4 linked regions of the Arabidopsis thaliana genome follow. The main gene of each other region encodes a partner of the protein of the gene in region 3 in a complex. Each region holds a gene or a part of one and is shown on either strand. Other genes may lie near its edges.

The links.
Region 1: RPL9 (region 3) and EMB3136 share a complex: the UniProt entries of both Arabidopsis thaliana proteins name them as parts of the 50S ribosomal subunit.
Region 2: RPL9 (region 3) and RPL27 share a complex: the UniProt entries of both Arabidopsis thaliana proteins name them as parts of the 50S ribosomal subunit.
Region 4: RPL9 (region 3) and emb1473 share a complex: the UniProt entries of both Arabidopsis thaliana proteins name them as parts of the 50S ribosomal subunit.

Annotation. Positions count from the first base shown.
Region 1 is NC_003076.8:4,339,725-4,342,631, reverse strand, and holds EMB3136 (Ribosomal protein L10 family protein), read right to left. Parts: upstream 1,371-2,907; 5' UTR 1,339-1,370; coding exon 676-1,338; 3' UTR 537-675; downstream 1-536. Other genes in the region: AT5G13520 (peptidase M1 family protein), read left to right, coding at 222-515; AT5G13500 (Hyp O-arabinosyltransferase-like protein), read right to left, coding at 1,805-1,867, 2,210-2,323, 2,473-2,544, 2,674-2,743, 2,849-2,907. UniProt on the Arabidopsis thaliana protein: This protein binds directly to 23S ribosomal RNA.
Region 2 is NC_003076.8:16,409,142-16,412,655, reverse strand, and holds RPL27 (ribosomal protein large subunit 27), read right to left. Parts: upstream 1,875-3,514; 5' UTR 1,791-1,874; coding exon 1,488-1,790; intron 1,189-1,487; coding exon 1,087-1,188; intron 1,003-1,086; coding exon 811-1,002; 3' UTR 542-810; downstream 1-541.
Region 3 is NC_003074.8:16,384,522-16,389,262, reverse strand, and holds RPL9 (ribosomal protein L9), read right to left. Parts: upstream 2,869-4,741; 5' UTR 2,759-2,868; coding exon 2,606-2,758; intron 2,272-2,605; coding exon 2,144-2,271; intron 1,988-2,143; coding exon 1,942-1,987; intron 1,801-1,941; coding exon 1,703-1,800; intron 1,620-1,702; coding exon 1,572-1,619; intron 1,421-1,571; coding exon 1,300-1,420; 3' UTR 1,264-1,299; intron 1,016-1,263; 3' UTR 540-1,015; downstream 1-539. Other genes in the region: CHX4 (cation/H+ exchanger 4), read right to left, coding at 1-185, 276-539; ACD1 (Pheophorbide a oxygenase family protein with Rieske 2Fe-2S domain-containing protein), read right to left, coding at 3,059-3,313, 3,407-3,691, 3,764-3,923, 4,007-4,143, 4,232-4,358, 4,453-4,688. UniProt on the Arabidopsis thaliana protein: Binds to the 23S rRNA.
Region 4 is NC_003070.9:29,573,957-29,578,444, forward strand, and holds emb1473 (Ribosomal protein L13 family protein), read left to right. Parts: upstream 1-1,849; 5' UTR 1,850-2,040; coding exon 2,041-2,292; intron 2,293-2,600; coding exon 2,601-2,786; intron 2,787-2,986; coding exon 2,987-3,157; intron 3,158-3,333; coding exon 3,334-3,450; 3' UTR 3,451-3,924; downstream 3,925-4,488. Other genes in the region: AT1G78620 (integral membrane protein (Protein of unknown function DUF92, transmembrane)), read right to left, coding at 1-1, 283-387, 501-624, 772-1,025, 1,353-1,802.

The sequences.
Region 1 (2,907 bases), on a different chromosome or scaffold from region 3:
TAGCTCAATAGTTACTCTTGGATTAATGTGGGGCTAGTGAATAATGATTGTGGAAAAACCCTCTTGGCTTTGGGAGAGTTCATGATTGTGGAAAGTGTATTGGCTTTGCAAGAGTTAGGATCTTATCTTGTTTGTTAATGACAATGCTAGTCAACAAAGGAAGGATTGGTGATCAGGTTCAAACCTATGGCTAACACCCACTTTGCTCATTGATGAATCAGGTCATGGCCTTGGACAAGCGGTACAGACTGGCAGAATCGAAAGACTATGAAGTGAAGGTCTCGTTTCTGCAACTTGCAGTCACATCCAAGTGCAGAGAGTACCATGGGGAAGTGAAGAAAACACTAAAAGAGGTAGGAAGGATGAAGTACCTGCGTCCACTCTTCACTGCTCTTGCACAATCTGGTGGAACAGAAGAGAAGCAGCTGGCAAAACAGGTGTTTGCAGAAGCTCGAGAAACTTATCACCCCATAGCTCAGGGAGTTGTTGAATCTATCCTCTCTAAGTACATCTAAACAAGACCGTTATGATAGCTTGAGAGCACTCCGAAAAACAACATTTCAATAAAACTCAGTCACTGTAATAACAATTGGTGCTTGAGAGAGTCATAAACAAAAAATTGAATTGCCTTTTGTTGCGTACATTACATTCTCCAAAAGATTAGTACAAGCTTAACTATGCATTACTCTCATCTTCCAACTTCTTAATGTAAGCCATAAGCACCATTATAACCTCTCTTGCTGGTGCTTGTAAAGTAGTGACGAGATTAATAGCCGGAGATTGCAGAGCACCGAGCATCTTAGCGTAGACCTCAGCACGAGTGGGCATGGTCTCGAGGACTTTGAAATTGTCAGGAGCGTAGAACTTACCTTCGAAGACAGCGCCGGCAAAGTCATTGTTTTCAAGCTTGCGTTCCTTCTGGAAGCTCCGGTAGGGTTTGATAGCAGAAGGGATTTCATCGGTCTGGACGAAAAGCCAAGCGTTCATGCCTTTCATACAAGGCTTGAGAGCTTCCCATTTGGTGCCTTCAATGGCTTTGAAGACCAAAGTGTTCTTGGCGACGATGAGCTTTGTAGTGTCGGGGAGAGTTCTCCGGAGGTCTTGAAACTGCTTGACGGTGAGGCCTTTGTAGTTGATGGCGGCGAGGAGATGGCAGTTCTCCAAGTGAGACTTGACGGCTTCGACAGTCTCTTCCTTCTTGTTACGAGACACCGCGGATCTGATGACCGGGAGGCGAGGGTAATTTGGGGAATTCGAGGTTTTGGGTGTGAGAGTTGAGATTCGCTGGTGACAGAGAGGAGACAAGGAAGAAGAGAAGGAGAGAAGAGCCACTTCCATTTTTTTGCTCAGAAGATGAGGAGACTGTTTCTAGCTGTGTGGAGGAAGAAGATAGATGAACAACAACACAATCCTCCACTAAGCAATTTTATTTTTTTATTTTTCTTAAATGGAAAATAAAATTTATGGATAAAAAAAGGGTTAATAGACGGAATTAGTAACTCCGTCTAATTTAACGCATTGTGTCTTTTAGTCTCTGCTTCTGAATTCTGAACGCAATCCATTGGTAAACTAATCAAATAACTAGACCCAAAATAATTCTATTTTCTTTCTCGGAATTATGGAAGATGTCTCGTCTCGTGTCAAACAAATAATTTTGTAATTTACTACTCAAGTTCATAATTTAACCATTACAAGAAAAAACAGACAAGAAGGGAAGTAAAGGGAGAAGGAAAAAAAAATTAGGCAAAATATTGTTGCTGTATGGATTTGTCCCTATGGTTTGTGTTTTGTGTGTGGATGTGAGTTAGAGAGTGTCCCAATTAGGGATAGTCGCAGTAGCTTCATTCACCATCTTCACAAGTGTCACCTGCACCATCACACAATATGTTATTAAGGACAGTCATTCAATATTACGGTTCTCACTCTCACACTTGATTGACCACAAGCAAAACCGTAACTCCTGAAGATATTACAACTACTTCTAACAGACTTATGCATATCATCTCCCCGGAAAGTAAAACCATTGCAAATTCACAAACTACATCAAACTATGGACGACCATTTGTGTATGACGTTGCTATTTAGTCTCCGGAATCCACTAAACCAATGGACATGATACAAATAAGTTCCCCTTTGAGCTATGAATGGACCTTACTGCAGTATCTTGTTTTAAGCACGATCAGATTATAGAGGTTTATATATAACATACCACACTTTCGGGAACACCGGGAGGCGGCAAGGACATGTTCCTTGGAGGAGGACCCCGCAAATGTGATCTCTTATCGAATCGCCACTCTCCTATTTTGCCATATGTCAGCTCCCCCTGTATTTAACAGTCAGCAAAACTTAGTAGTGACTAAAAAGAGAACCTAATGACCTTAAGTAAAAACAAATGACCACAAGATGTGAAATCTGTTCCTAATTTATCAGCCAAAAATTAAAATTAAACAATCGTGTCAAACAGAAAATCACCTTCATGTTGTAGTCGCATCCATAAGTGTAATGAATGATAAACTTCCCCTTGGTAGACAAATCCCACGGAGGCTGAAAGATATTGTGAGAGAACTTAGGAATATGGAGCAGAGAAACAACTTTTGTAACTTTGACAAAACAAAAGTATCTTCGACATAGAATATGTTATCACTAAGGTATCAGCACAAGGTCGATTCTTACCTGAAGCATGAAATCCTTCCGAAGTATGTGACGCACCCCATGTATAGCAGATGCAATTGCGTAACCGTACCTTATCAAACAGAAAAGAGAAGAATAAAGTAGTCAGTTAACAATGATGGGATTCAAAAGGTGGAGAGCCAATTCATGATTTAAGATTCTTGTTTCTTGTGCTAACATTTCCAGCACCCATCCAAATGCCTTATCAGTTTCTGGATCGTTTTTCATTGTCAGCGA
Region 2 (3,514 bases), on a different chromosome or scaffold from region 3:
CTTCTTCTTAATTACTGCTCCTAGAATTTAAAACTTCTCATCAATTACTATTTTTGCTCTAGGCCTTTAGTGTTATTCAATAATATATCGTCATCTTACATATATATATCGTTACATACATGTGTATAAGTATTTGACCTCAAGCTGGTGAAATATGGCCTAAAGATAACACAAAGGATCTAATATGGTACAGGTAAAACGTTAGCGAAATTGATGGATTCAAGATGAGCAAGATATAGATAAATGAAAAAAAAAAAACATAGAATAATAATTTCATTCCACTAATTATGCAATGATAGACGAAAATGAATATTATTCAATTTCTTTTTTGTACCACTATCTACATATTCCGAAATGCTAAGTAATTGGGCTAAAACCCATTATTTCGCTAGAAGGCCCATAAAGTCTTCGGCTTCTTAGACTAACAATGGATCCATTTTTGGGATCCAAATAAGTTTTATAATTTTTATAATAAAAAAACCTCAAATAGACACTTGAACTAGATTTATACTTGACTAAATCTAATTGGGGCATTCAAAGGTTTGGTGGTCTCTCTTATCAATGATTCAGAATTACTAAGTTGGAAGAGAAATTCACTAAATTAAAACCTTTGAGGCTTTGACTAATTAACAATAACCATTTGATTACACTAATAACTCAAGTTGGGTAAAAATCCGCCTGCTTGGGACTCAATTTGACAAAAGAGAGGCTTGGATTCGACAATACAACCAACTCTTAATACTCTGAAAGGATCATTTTTCATAAACAAGACTAAACAAAAAGAGACAAGGAAACTCCACATTCAATCTTCTAGCACTCCGGATTGGCTTCAGCATCATCGACTGAGGCAGATGCAAGAACAAGTTCTGGTGTAGGAAGTGTGTACGAGTAATTCTCGCGTCTCGCCTTCTTCTTCTCCCTTTGCAATCTGAAGTTTTCTCTCTTTCTTGCTCTGTAGCTATTGGGATTCTCTGGTACAATTTCTCTTGGATACACACTTATCTGCAAAAACAAGTCTCATTTCCTTTAACATCCTAGAAGATTAAGAAAGCTTATAAACCTTACTCAGTATAACTACAGGTATACCTTCTTCCTGTCAGGACCAAACTTCTCGAACTTGACTAATCCATCGATTAAAGAGAAGATGGTATGATCTTTACCAATCCCAACATTTTTCCCAGCATGGAACTGCACCAAACATCACCATTCATGAATCAATCTTCTCAAACAATATAGTTCCATCCTAAACACAAACATAACGTAGAACTTCCAGAGAAATGGCAATGGCATCAGAAACAAGAGCTACTAAATACGAAAATTCATCCTAAACCCAGATGTGTTCGAGAATGGAATCTGAAAACAGAGCTTGAGAGCTAAACCCATAAGAAACTGACCAAATTGACAGAGTTGCGGTGAAATTAGAAGAGAATTGAAAGAGGAGCTTAAGAGGTTCTCAATTTCAACAATTCTGTGTTCTTAAGTGTTACCTTAGTGCCACGTTGACGAACAATGATAGCACCAGGTTTAGCAACTTGGTCACCGTAGATCTTGACGCCGAGTCGTTGCCCAGGAGAATCACGACCGTTCTTGGTGCTACCAGCTCCTTTCTTATGGGCCGATTCAATTGTCAACGGAATCGGAGCTTGAAGATTTTCCAGAGGAAGAGTCACCGTGAAAGAGGTTTTGGGGGAAAAACTCAAATCGCCTCTAAGAAAAGACGAAGTCGAAGAAAGAGACAAGCCTTTGAATGCCCCAATTAGATTCAAACTCATCGATGTTGCCATCGCCATTGGTAAAATCACCAGAGAATTCGTTGGAGTTTCGAAATGGAGAAATTAGGGTTTTCTGAGGTTGAAGAAGAAGTTCTTCTCCTTATCGTTTCGTCTCACTCTCTCGATTAGTGACCACTAAAATTACACGTCATCAAATAATGTAAGATAAGGTGAGTACACGTCAGCAAGTAAATAATGGAAAAAGAGAAAAAAGTGAATGTTGACAGTGGGATTTGAACCCACGCCCTTTCGGACCAGAACCTTAATCTGGCGCCTTAGACCAACTCGGCCATATCAACTTGTTGTATAAAATATTAAATCTAAATATATAGACTACAGTTTCAAATATTCATTATATAGTAGAAATTTCTCAGATAAAAACAAAAACCAAACTTAGAATAATAATATGCAAGAAGCAGCCAAAAATAATTATAGACTTTAGCTATAATATTAAAACATAAATTAGGATTTATACTGACAATGTCACTCTAAAAATTATTTTTACATTGGCGGAAAAATGTAATTTTCTGATTTGGCAAAAAAAAAATATTATTTGATTTTGACATGTTTTTACAGTTTTGACCGAAAATTAAAAATTATATTATTTGAGTTTCATAGACTGTCTAGTTGGTTAGAGGAGAAAAAAGTATTATGAACAAGATGAGAGATCACTATGACTCTCCTGTCATTAGTAGCAAGCCTTAAATAATGTTTGGAGATTTTAATGAGATTTTAGAACTTGTGGAGCATTCTAGAGCTGAAGACAACCCTATTATACCAATGGAATGAGAGACTTTCAATCAGTGGTAAACTATTGCTTTGTTTGAGACCTATCATCCCATGGTCCGCTGTATACTTGGTGTAATAAGCGAGAAAATGATCTTATCTTAAAGAAGTTGGATAGAGTTATAGAGACATGGACACAAACTTTTCTTTTTGATTGGATGGAAAGTCATAGGAGAGTTATAGTGATCTCTCATCTCTACTAATTGTTTATGGTTTTCATATTTATTGACAAAAGTATCTTTCAAAGACCTTCATTGTTCTTGAAATTCGACGATGAAGGTCTTTGGAACGGTAAATGGTAATTGGTTGTTTATTCTCTTTTAGTTATGTTTTCTATATTTTCATTTCTTTCTGCCTTCAAAAGAATTTGATATCATGTCTGTTTCCTATTCAATTTGCCTACTAATGATTCTCTCTCATAGAATTATTGTGAACAGCCACTAAAATATTTTTACCATAATCGACATGCTTTCTTATCATAAGTCACTACACCTACTTGGAAATGAACACTGGATTGTTTGAAACAAATGCATATTTCGAAGGTTGAGTTAGAAAGTGATGTAAGATACTTATGCAAAAACTTAAGAGTAAGTCTTGCTAATCATCCAAAAGACCATGAGAAAATAACATTTTTATGTCGAAAGGGGAGGATTCTCTTTGTGCTCCCTCTGCCAATAAAGAGGCAAAACCAATATAGCTAGAAACCTAGCAATGTTCTTAAGAACGAAATATATAGCAAAGTCATTGGCTCCAATCCTTTTTGGATTTGGGTAGACCCATGTAATTACTAGGATCCGGATTAGTTATATGTTAACCATGTAAAAACTATGTTAAATAATTAAGAAATTAAATGTCCATTATCAAATTAAACTTCATCTGTTTTTCATTATACTGAAAATTACAAAACTAAAAATAAAGCAAGTAAGCAAAATCTAAAAATCCTCGTCAAGCTTGAA
Region 3 (4,741 bases):
ACAGCTTTTCTCCCGGTGCTGCGGATCAAACTCAAGTCCATTTTAACTCCCATCAAGAACCAAAACATCATGTAGGAACATGCACCCACTAAACCAAACAGAGTCTCTTTATAGTCTTCCGTCGAGAGGAATTTCCTAGCCGGTGTATTCTCCTTAAGAAACGACTTGCTCAAGAGAATCCCAGTCTGGCAAAACCACACAGAATATCAAACATAAGCAATGCAAACAAAGAGGAAGAGAGATTTGAAGATTCAAGAATTGAGTAAAGTTCTTACAAGCATATGGGAGGTGAAACGAATCATGCCGAGACGTCTGAGGAAGAAATGGAAGAATTGCCAGAGAATAGTGACGATAAGGAAAATGATCTGAACATGTGGAAACATGTAATTCCAGAACTCAATGTTTGCTTGAGGATCTGGGAGCTTCGGGGAGGGCCATAGCCCGCTCGAGCTCGGGTTAATAGGCAAGATACCGCAGATCATGTTTGCATCTCTCCATGTATCTCTCAGGTAAGGGATCCTATCACCATTAAACTCCATTGGACAAAACTTGTTAACAAGAACAAAGATGATAGAAACAAGAGAATCATATGATTATAAAAACCGAATCAAGAGCTATAACTGTCTTAAACAAAAAAGGTTTTGGTAACAGAATTGAAGAGAAGCAGTGAAACAAAAAAACATCTGGGTTTTGTCATTAAACAACAACTCTCTAAAAATAGTCAATCTTGTGGGAACAAGAGACGGCGACATAGTTTTTCAGATTTCTGGTTATTTGTTAGTTTTTTAAACAGCTTGTTAGTGTTAATTTAAGCATTCTCATCACTTCAACAGACAAATGAATACAATATAACTTCAAGTAAATATCATAACTTGCAAGAGAATATTATACTTTTAGCGTTTCCAGATTCCAAAAATAGCAAAAATACAAATGCATCAAACAATCTAAAGGAAAAACTTCACAACCTTCAATCCTCACCACAAGAGGCTACTCTCTTTTCCCTCTCTATACGTTCCTGCAAGTTCAAAACACCAAACACAGTGCGATGGACAATTAGCATCTGCGTTTGCGGCTAGACCTTAAAACGCAAAACTCCGTTCAACAGCCAATATTCCCGACCAATGTTTATATGCCGATGTTCAGAGTTCAGAACATCGGTTTAACTACTTATTTCATGCCAATTAAGACACGAACTAAGACAAAACTAATACTTAGTTTCATTTATGGTTAAAAGCCACATGATCATGGAAAATCAAGAAATACCTTGGGATGCAGTAGGAGTCTTGAATCGTTGAAGGTTTAGTTAGCGAAAACATTGATCTTAACTCGAGCAGTGACATCGGGGTGAAGCTTGAGTTCGGCTATGTATTCTCCGGTTTCACGGATTTCTGGGAGAGAGACAAGGCGTTTGTCGATGTCCCTGCAAAACACAGCCACAGAGAAGCAGATAAAACCATATTAGGTTCTTCGAACAACACTAAAAACCAAATGTAGACTGATCCAACTAAACCGCCCACATGAGAAAGCTTGTAGCTTTTTATGTGGAAATGTAAAATTTTCTATGTTGTTACTTTTGGAGCTGTGATTTGATGATGTCGACGAGGTCTTGAGCTGTGACACTGCAGGAAAATATAAAGTTAAGTACAGGCTAAACACTATTCTCAAGACTGTTAAAATCTAGATTTGCTTAAGTAGGACTTACGATCCAAATATCAGTTTGCCTTTACCGCCTTTGCGTTTAACCTTGAAAGCACCAACGGTTTGGAATACCATCGCCAGTTGTTGTGCCTCTTCTTTCACCTGCAAAAAAGGTTCCACGCAAAGAAAAAACCAACAAACAGATGAAAATCAATAACCAAAGAGTTTTTTGGTGATCACTCAAACACCAAAACTTTACATGATGATCAAATAAAAACAATCAATGTATTCATATCAGATTACCCTTTGCTTCTCTGCCTCAATCCGTTCGTCTTCCATCTTCAATTCCCTGGGGGAAAAACACACACACAAAAAGAAAGAAAATGATGTTTTTCTTGTTGATCTTACAACATTGTAGCAAAGTCCCTCGAAATACAAAGGCCTTAGAACCGAATAGTAAGAGCATACAAAAGCGAACGGAAATTTCGAAGTTGAGGTGAATTACTTGAGCAGAAGTGGAGTCATAAGCTGAGCCTTTCCAGTAGGCAAGAGGAAGTTTCTGAAAAATCCAGCTTTCACATCAAGTAATTGCCCTTGCTTACCCAAATCCGTCACATCCTCTTTCAAAATTACCTTAAAGACACAAAACAAGATTTACCATTAGTGTTTCACTTACTCCATTTCTCTACACAGAAACAAAGCTTCAAACCAATTTATCTTCACTACTTGAAACTAAACTGGTAATATAAAGGCGTCTACTTTTCTAATGTTGATTCATCTTTCTTCCTAACTACGCTGATACAAGAACAAAGACGATGTTTTTACACTAAACCCATAAATTAAGCATCTTCAAGTCTTTTACTTTCATCTCCACCAAAATTCTTCAGAAACACAAGCTCAAATCAAAAACTAACTAAAAGCCAAATCAAATTTTTGAAGGAAACCCATGAAAGGTAATGACTTTTACCTTGCGAAGTTTCTTAGCTTTCTTCTGGGAAACAACTTCAAAATTGAACCTTCGCTCAGATACTTTTAGGGTTTCATTTGCACCGCCATTGAAGCTGTGTGACCAACAAGGAGAGGAGCTCCATGAGAGAGACAAAGCTGTCGAAGAAGCCATAGCCAAAGCTGATTTCACTTCAAAGCAGAGATAACAAGAGCGCACAGTTGTAGTAATTGTTATCTTCTTATCGGCTTTTCGTGTGCTTGCTCAAGTGAAGTGACGAATGTTTTTCTTATGTTTCGAATTTGACCCCGTAATTATTCTACTTTTCTGTTTTCTTACTTAAAAGTTTTATAAAGTTCAATTGAGTACCCAAAATTTAACGGTTAAATCGGTTTTATAGTGCTAAAAGTTCCTCTGGATTTTGATTTACAATGTTTGTACTTTGTATGATGATTATACATATACACAACAAATCTACTCGATTTCAGAATGTACATAATCTCTAAACACAAAGTTCTTCTCTTGTTCATGTAAAGCATATGCAGAAGCAGCTGATATCAGTGATAAACCAGCAAGAACCAGTCGAATCTGAACATCAGAAGGAACACCAGCCGTGGCGGCCCAGAAAACCGTCGCGCCAACGAGAAACTTCTTGAGGATTTGGAAACTGTTGTAAGCTCCTTTGCAGGAAGAGCATACTTGTGTATGCTGATCAAATCTATCTAGCATCTGTTTGTTCAAATTTGTCACGTTTTCAGACATGTGTTTGTATATATATAGAGATCAATCAAATGATGTTAGGATGCATGATTGATGGCTCACCTGACGCTTGGTTAAGACAGTGGAAGGGAGAGGTTGGTTAGACGGGGTGGAGCCGAACCATTCAGGCTGACTCTTACCATGCCGTCTGAGCCAGTTTCTGAATGCTAGAACAAAACGGTCTGCCTGGGTTGGAGTGAATGTGAGCTTTGTGTACTGTTTGTTCACGTCGTAGTCTGGTGACTCCATTGATTTAGCGAGGAATACTTTCTCTTGTCCTTGAAGTACGATCATGTCTCCGTCATAGACTAAGTTCGAAGTCCAGTGTTCATACCATCTTGGTACAACCTAACAAGGAACAGCTTCAGAAGAATTTACGTAGTAAAATCGGATTAGAGATGGAATCAAAGTTTGTTTTACCTGCCACCAAGCTGGTCCTGGTACAGAGAACTGAAAGAAGTTACGGGCGCTGCAAACGATGGAACGGGTCTTTCCTGGAGCCATTGGTATATTGAATGAGCAAATCCAAATGACCCATTTTTGATTACCGACGATTGGTAGTTTCGCATCTAACTCAATTCTGTAGACAAGGATACACAATTTCATTCTATGCAACTGTATGCTAACCATTTATTATGTATAGTGAGCAAACTCAACACTCACTTGTTCATAGAATAGCACGGAGCAACAAATTTTGCGGTTATCCTTGGACTGTCATCATTCGCACCTTGGAAACCCCAAGGCCCACTTGACTCCACCTTGAACGGCAATGGTTTGGCTCTGTCTCTTCTTCCTGTAACCTGTTTACAACACGTAATCATCGCCTGAGGATAATATCCCTTAGTGGAAATGCAAACACATTGGGAGCTTTGAGAAAGAAAACAACACCTTGTGATGAGCAAAATCTATATGGGAAGGATCAGATACATTTTCCATGAGAGTATCATATCCATAGAAAAGATCCCTTTGAATTGTCACCGTCGAAAATTCCGGTTTATCGAAATCATCCGGCAACCTTTTATGTTAAAGATCAACGCATTTAATAAAACGAGTAATAAAACGAGTATGCTATGTTCATGGAAGCCTGAGAAGATAATCATTTTCGTTACCTAGGGGGTTCAATTGAATTGGCTCTATCCCAACCATTTTCATCAGGCCACACAAAGAGAAGACCTTGAGACACCATTGTCGGGAACTTAATAGCACAAGCTCTCGGGGATTTAACAGCACGAGCTTCAGGACCTGAAGTAGCAGCCTGAGGAATCCTAGTGCAAGATCCACACCCACCAAATGACCATCCATGATACGAACATTGCAAGTGTCCATTCTCATCCAACCTTCCTTCCTACATAACCACAATGCATCAACACATACACAAACACATCAATGAGTCAAGCT
Region 4 (4,488 bases), on a different chromosome or scaffold from region 3:
GCTACACATAGCAAAATAGTGACTAACATGAGACAGAATACAGTCGAGATCATTGCATTCTTGTTTAGTTGGTAACTAATTGCAAGGAATGGATTCATAAGACGAAAACTTCAAAATTCTGTATTGAATGGAAATCGTTTTCCACTCAAGCCAGTTATCTATCAGTCTTTCTGCAAGAAGTGACGGTATATTCATTTGATTATCATCTTCTTGCATTGACAACAAGTAGACAGAGTGAGATCAATAAAACAAAAAGAAGAGAGTTCATTGAAGTGAGCATACCCATTTGAATCCTTCTTTGTCTTGAAAAGAAGCACCTATTATGCTCTCTCCAAGATTGGCAATCTGGGAAGCTAGTACACATACAGCTGCTTCTGGAGGAGTTATCTGTGTTCAAGATATCAAAAGGAAAAGAAGTTTAAAAATCGTGTAATGATAACAGTCTTTAGTAGCATAAAGAAGCTGTGAAGGGAAATTTTGGTAGCAAATAACACTATTACCTGACCCAGGAAGCAGCCAACAGATGCAAGAAAAAATGATGCTAAAAGTCCAGCCAATGTTCCTTCAAGACTCATAGCTCCCTCTGTTCCTCTTGGTACAATCTTAAATGTCGTAGCTAAATACCTGCGAATTGGCAATGGTTAGTAAGATCATTTCAGTTGTCGATTGGATTCATGTCATGACACCACAAGTCCATGCCATACATCAGACAGAAAACAGACACAGACCATAACAGAAGAGGCTATAGCTGGATAACAGTAGCATACTCACGTTGTTTTTCCATAAGCTTTGCCTATCTCGCTCGAGACAGTGTCAGATACTTTAGTGCAGAAACTGGAAACAAAACCAAGCCGGAAAAGCTGGGAAAAAGCTGCTCCTCCCACTTGATATATTGAAAGAAAAGCACAGACACAACCAGCAGCACTTGAACCAATCACACTGCGTGGTCCTCTTCTACCCTTTCTCTTTTCGGCCACACCTTGTGCTTCCTTTTGCGTCATTTTAACCTTCGTTGCCGCTGTTCCCTGTGATATTGTAAATCATCTAAACCAACTTCAGCGCCAGAATCAATTGCAAATTTACTGTTACTATTTCCAGCTCTGGGGTGAAACACGATATTGAAATCTAAAACTTAAAGCATTGCAGAGAAAAGACTAAGTATCTCAATGTTGAGCATGATCAGAAAAAGTAGCTCCTTAATCTGTAAACGTGATTTAGGATCTCTAACACGTCCACAATTCCTAAATTAAACAATAACACATCTAAAATCTAAGGACATTCTTCATTCATCAGCTCGAAATCAAAATCAAAGCAGCGAATTTCTACGTTCTAAGAGTCAGTTACCGAATTACATTCAGGTTGATCACAAATGCACTTACTATGACGAAGTAAGCAGCGACTAAGAGGAAACCAGCAGAGCCATAAGCTCTCCAAGTTAAAGTACCAAGCAAAAACGCGGCGGCGATCCCAGAAGCGGACAATCCGGTAACAAGAAGCGGTGAACCGAGAACAAAAATCAATAAATTGTTAGCCACAGCTGATTTCCAAGTTGGTGACGCCGATTGAATCAGTTTCATCGCCTCCGTCATCACTCCTTCCATCGATGCAGCCGCCGCCGTAGCACCGTCGGCTCTACTTCCCGACGAAAGCATTCCGTTGGAAAGTGGTTCCAGATTACGTCGTCCAAATCTGTAAGATCTAGCGAATGGAGAGGAAGAAGAAAATCCCGAGAATTTTGGGAATCTTAGTGGTAAAGCTGATCTAGAAGAATTTAAGAGTAGAGTTGACGAAATCGTTGCCATGACTTAGCTTGCTTCCGAAGAAGACCTTTCTCTCCTATTGAGAAAAAAAAAACAGTATTTCGGGTTGAATCCGGAGCTCCGAAAAAAACCCGGATCCTTAACCCGTGTTGTGTTTATTTTTCGGTCGTATTCATCAGATTATTTACGGTGTTGCCACTACTACTATTTACTGAGAACCCAATCTTATCCGAGAAATCGGAAAGAGCAGAAGAAATTTGCAGAAGAGAGAAAAACAAAAATGGCGGTTCTTTGCTCGTCTTCGACGGTGATACTCTCTTCTTCTTCCGTGAAATCCTCCGGAAGTGAGAGAAAGTCTCCGTTTTTAGGGTTCTCTTTAACGGCTATCTCGAAGCCGTCGGTACGAGTCGGCATTTATGCGAATTCGAAAAGAGGATTGCAAGTGAAGTGTGAAGCTGAGCCGACGACGACGACTTCTCTTGTTCCGGCGAATCAACGATGGATGTTCGACGAAGAAGAAGCTAATGGCCCTGTAACGATAATTTTTCTATCTCCCTCTGTGTTTAGCATCTACGCATTTATAAAGTGTCGCACTTTAGCTCTTGCTTTGAATTTGAAGTATGGCTTGTTTTTTTCTTCTCCCAATTGCGATTTATTAAGTAGTGGATTTTGCCTTTGACTCATTAGCTGTGTTGTCTGCATCAATTGGCTTCGAAAATTGATGTTTATTCTTCTGAATTTGTTAACTTGGACGTTTTATGAAATTATTAATGTTTGGTTGGAGAGAAGTTAAAAGTCTTTGGCTTGAAACCTTTATTGAGTGTATTCTATGGTTTACAGGACATCTGGAACACGACATGGTATCCAAAAGCTTCAGACCATGTGAACACGGACAAGCCCTGGTTTGTGGTTGATGCAACTGACAAAATTCTTGGTAGATTGGCATCGACAATTGCTAATCACATCCGTGGGAAGAATCTTGCCTCTTACACTCCTAGTGTCGACATGGGAGCTTTTGTGATTGTGGTATGAGTTTCTTTGAGCTATCTGTAGAGAATAAGAAATTTGATGTGCTGCTTTAGTTAATTTCTTCCTGAAGGAGGAGCCTTGGGATTTGGTTTTAGTAAGATTCACATTAGCAGCAAGATGTAGAGCCTCTATGTAGATGTTTGGGCAATGCTTGTAACTTGGTACCTCTAATACTGTTTTCAATTGTTTGGTTAAAGGTGAATGCTGAGAAAGTTGCTGTATCTGGAAAGAAGCGTAACCAAAAGCTGTACAGGAGGCATTCAGGACGACCTGGTGGTATGACAGTAGAGACATTTGATCAATTGCAGCAGAGAATTCCTGAAAGAATCGTTGAGCATGCTGTTCGTGGAATGCTTCCAAAGGGACGGGTTAGATACATAATCCACAGCTCTTTATTAGTCTCCTTTAAGTCTTAACACTTAGCAAATCCGTGTTTCTTCAAACTTATGGATTGAACTTGGAAACTACTTGTTGCGATATTGGTATTGATTGATTACTAGTTTTCCAACTCCCTCTTAACTTTGGTCTGACCATTTTGTGGCAGCTTGGGAGAGCTCTGTTCAATCACCTGAAGGTGTACAAAGGCCCTGACCATCCTCACGAGGCCCAGAAACCGCTTGATCTGCCTATCAGGGACAAGAGAATACAGCTGCAAAAATAGAAGCTCCACCACTGTTCCATTATCGCCAAGCGCAGAGAGTTTTTTCTTCTCAGGTTTCTGTAGTTTCTTCATCCCAAAACCAGAGGAGGCTTTACAGATTCTTGTTTTCGCTTCTATCAACTCTGTTATGCTACAAAACTTTCTAATTTGAAATATTTCTCGTTATTTTTTTTTGCTACTGAATATCTTCTTCAACATGAAAAAGATGACATGTAATGAATACAAATGCCATAAGCAACAGTAGTCACCATTAACAAAAACTTCCTCTTCAATTGGTAACAAACCTTCCCAATGAGATCACAGATGCAAGGAAAATCTAATATTCATGCCTTAATCGAGTCATTACTTAAAACTGAAATTTTTAATGCTGGATCCAAAATTTGAATGTTAAATATACATAATAATAGGAAATACAATTTGAATGTTTGGAATCGCTAACGACTAATGCTAGATCCAAAATCCGGTTAGTATTCATATCATTATGTAAATTTTGCATCCAAATAAATTTAAAAACAAACAAACAAACACAAAAGATTTTTAAAATCCGACAATAAACAAAATCAAAATTTTAAAAACTATTTTTAAAAATCCAAATAAAAATCTTGAATGTTAAATCTACATAATAATATGAAAACAAGTTGAATGTTTGGAATCGCTAACGACTAATGTTGGATCCAAAATCCGGTTAGTATTCATATCATTATGTAAATTTAGCATCCAAAAAAATAATATTAAAACTATTTTAAAAAATGCGAAGTAAAACCTTGAATGTTTAATCTACATAATAATAGGAAAAACAAGTTGAATGTTTGGAATCGCTAACGACTATTGCTGGATCCAAAATCCGGTTAGATTTCATATCATTATATAAATTTAGTATCCATTAAATAATATAATTTTAAAAAATAAACACATGAAAAAAGATTTTTAAAATCCGAATAAACAAAATCTAAATTTTAAAAAGTACTTTAAAAATCCGAATGAAAAACTTGAATGCTAAATCTACATAATAATATGAAAACAAGTTGAATATTTGGA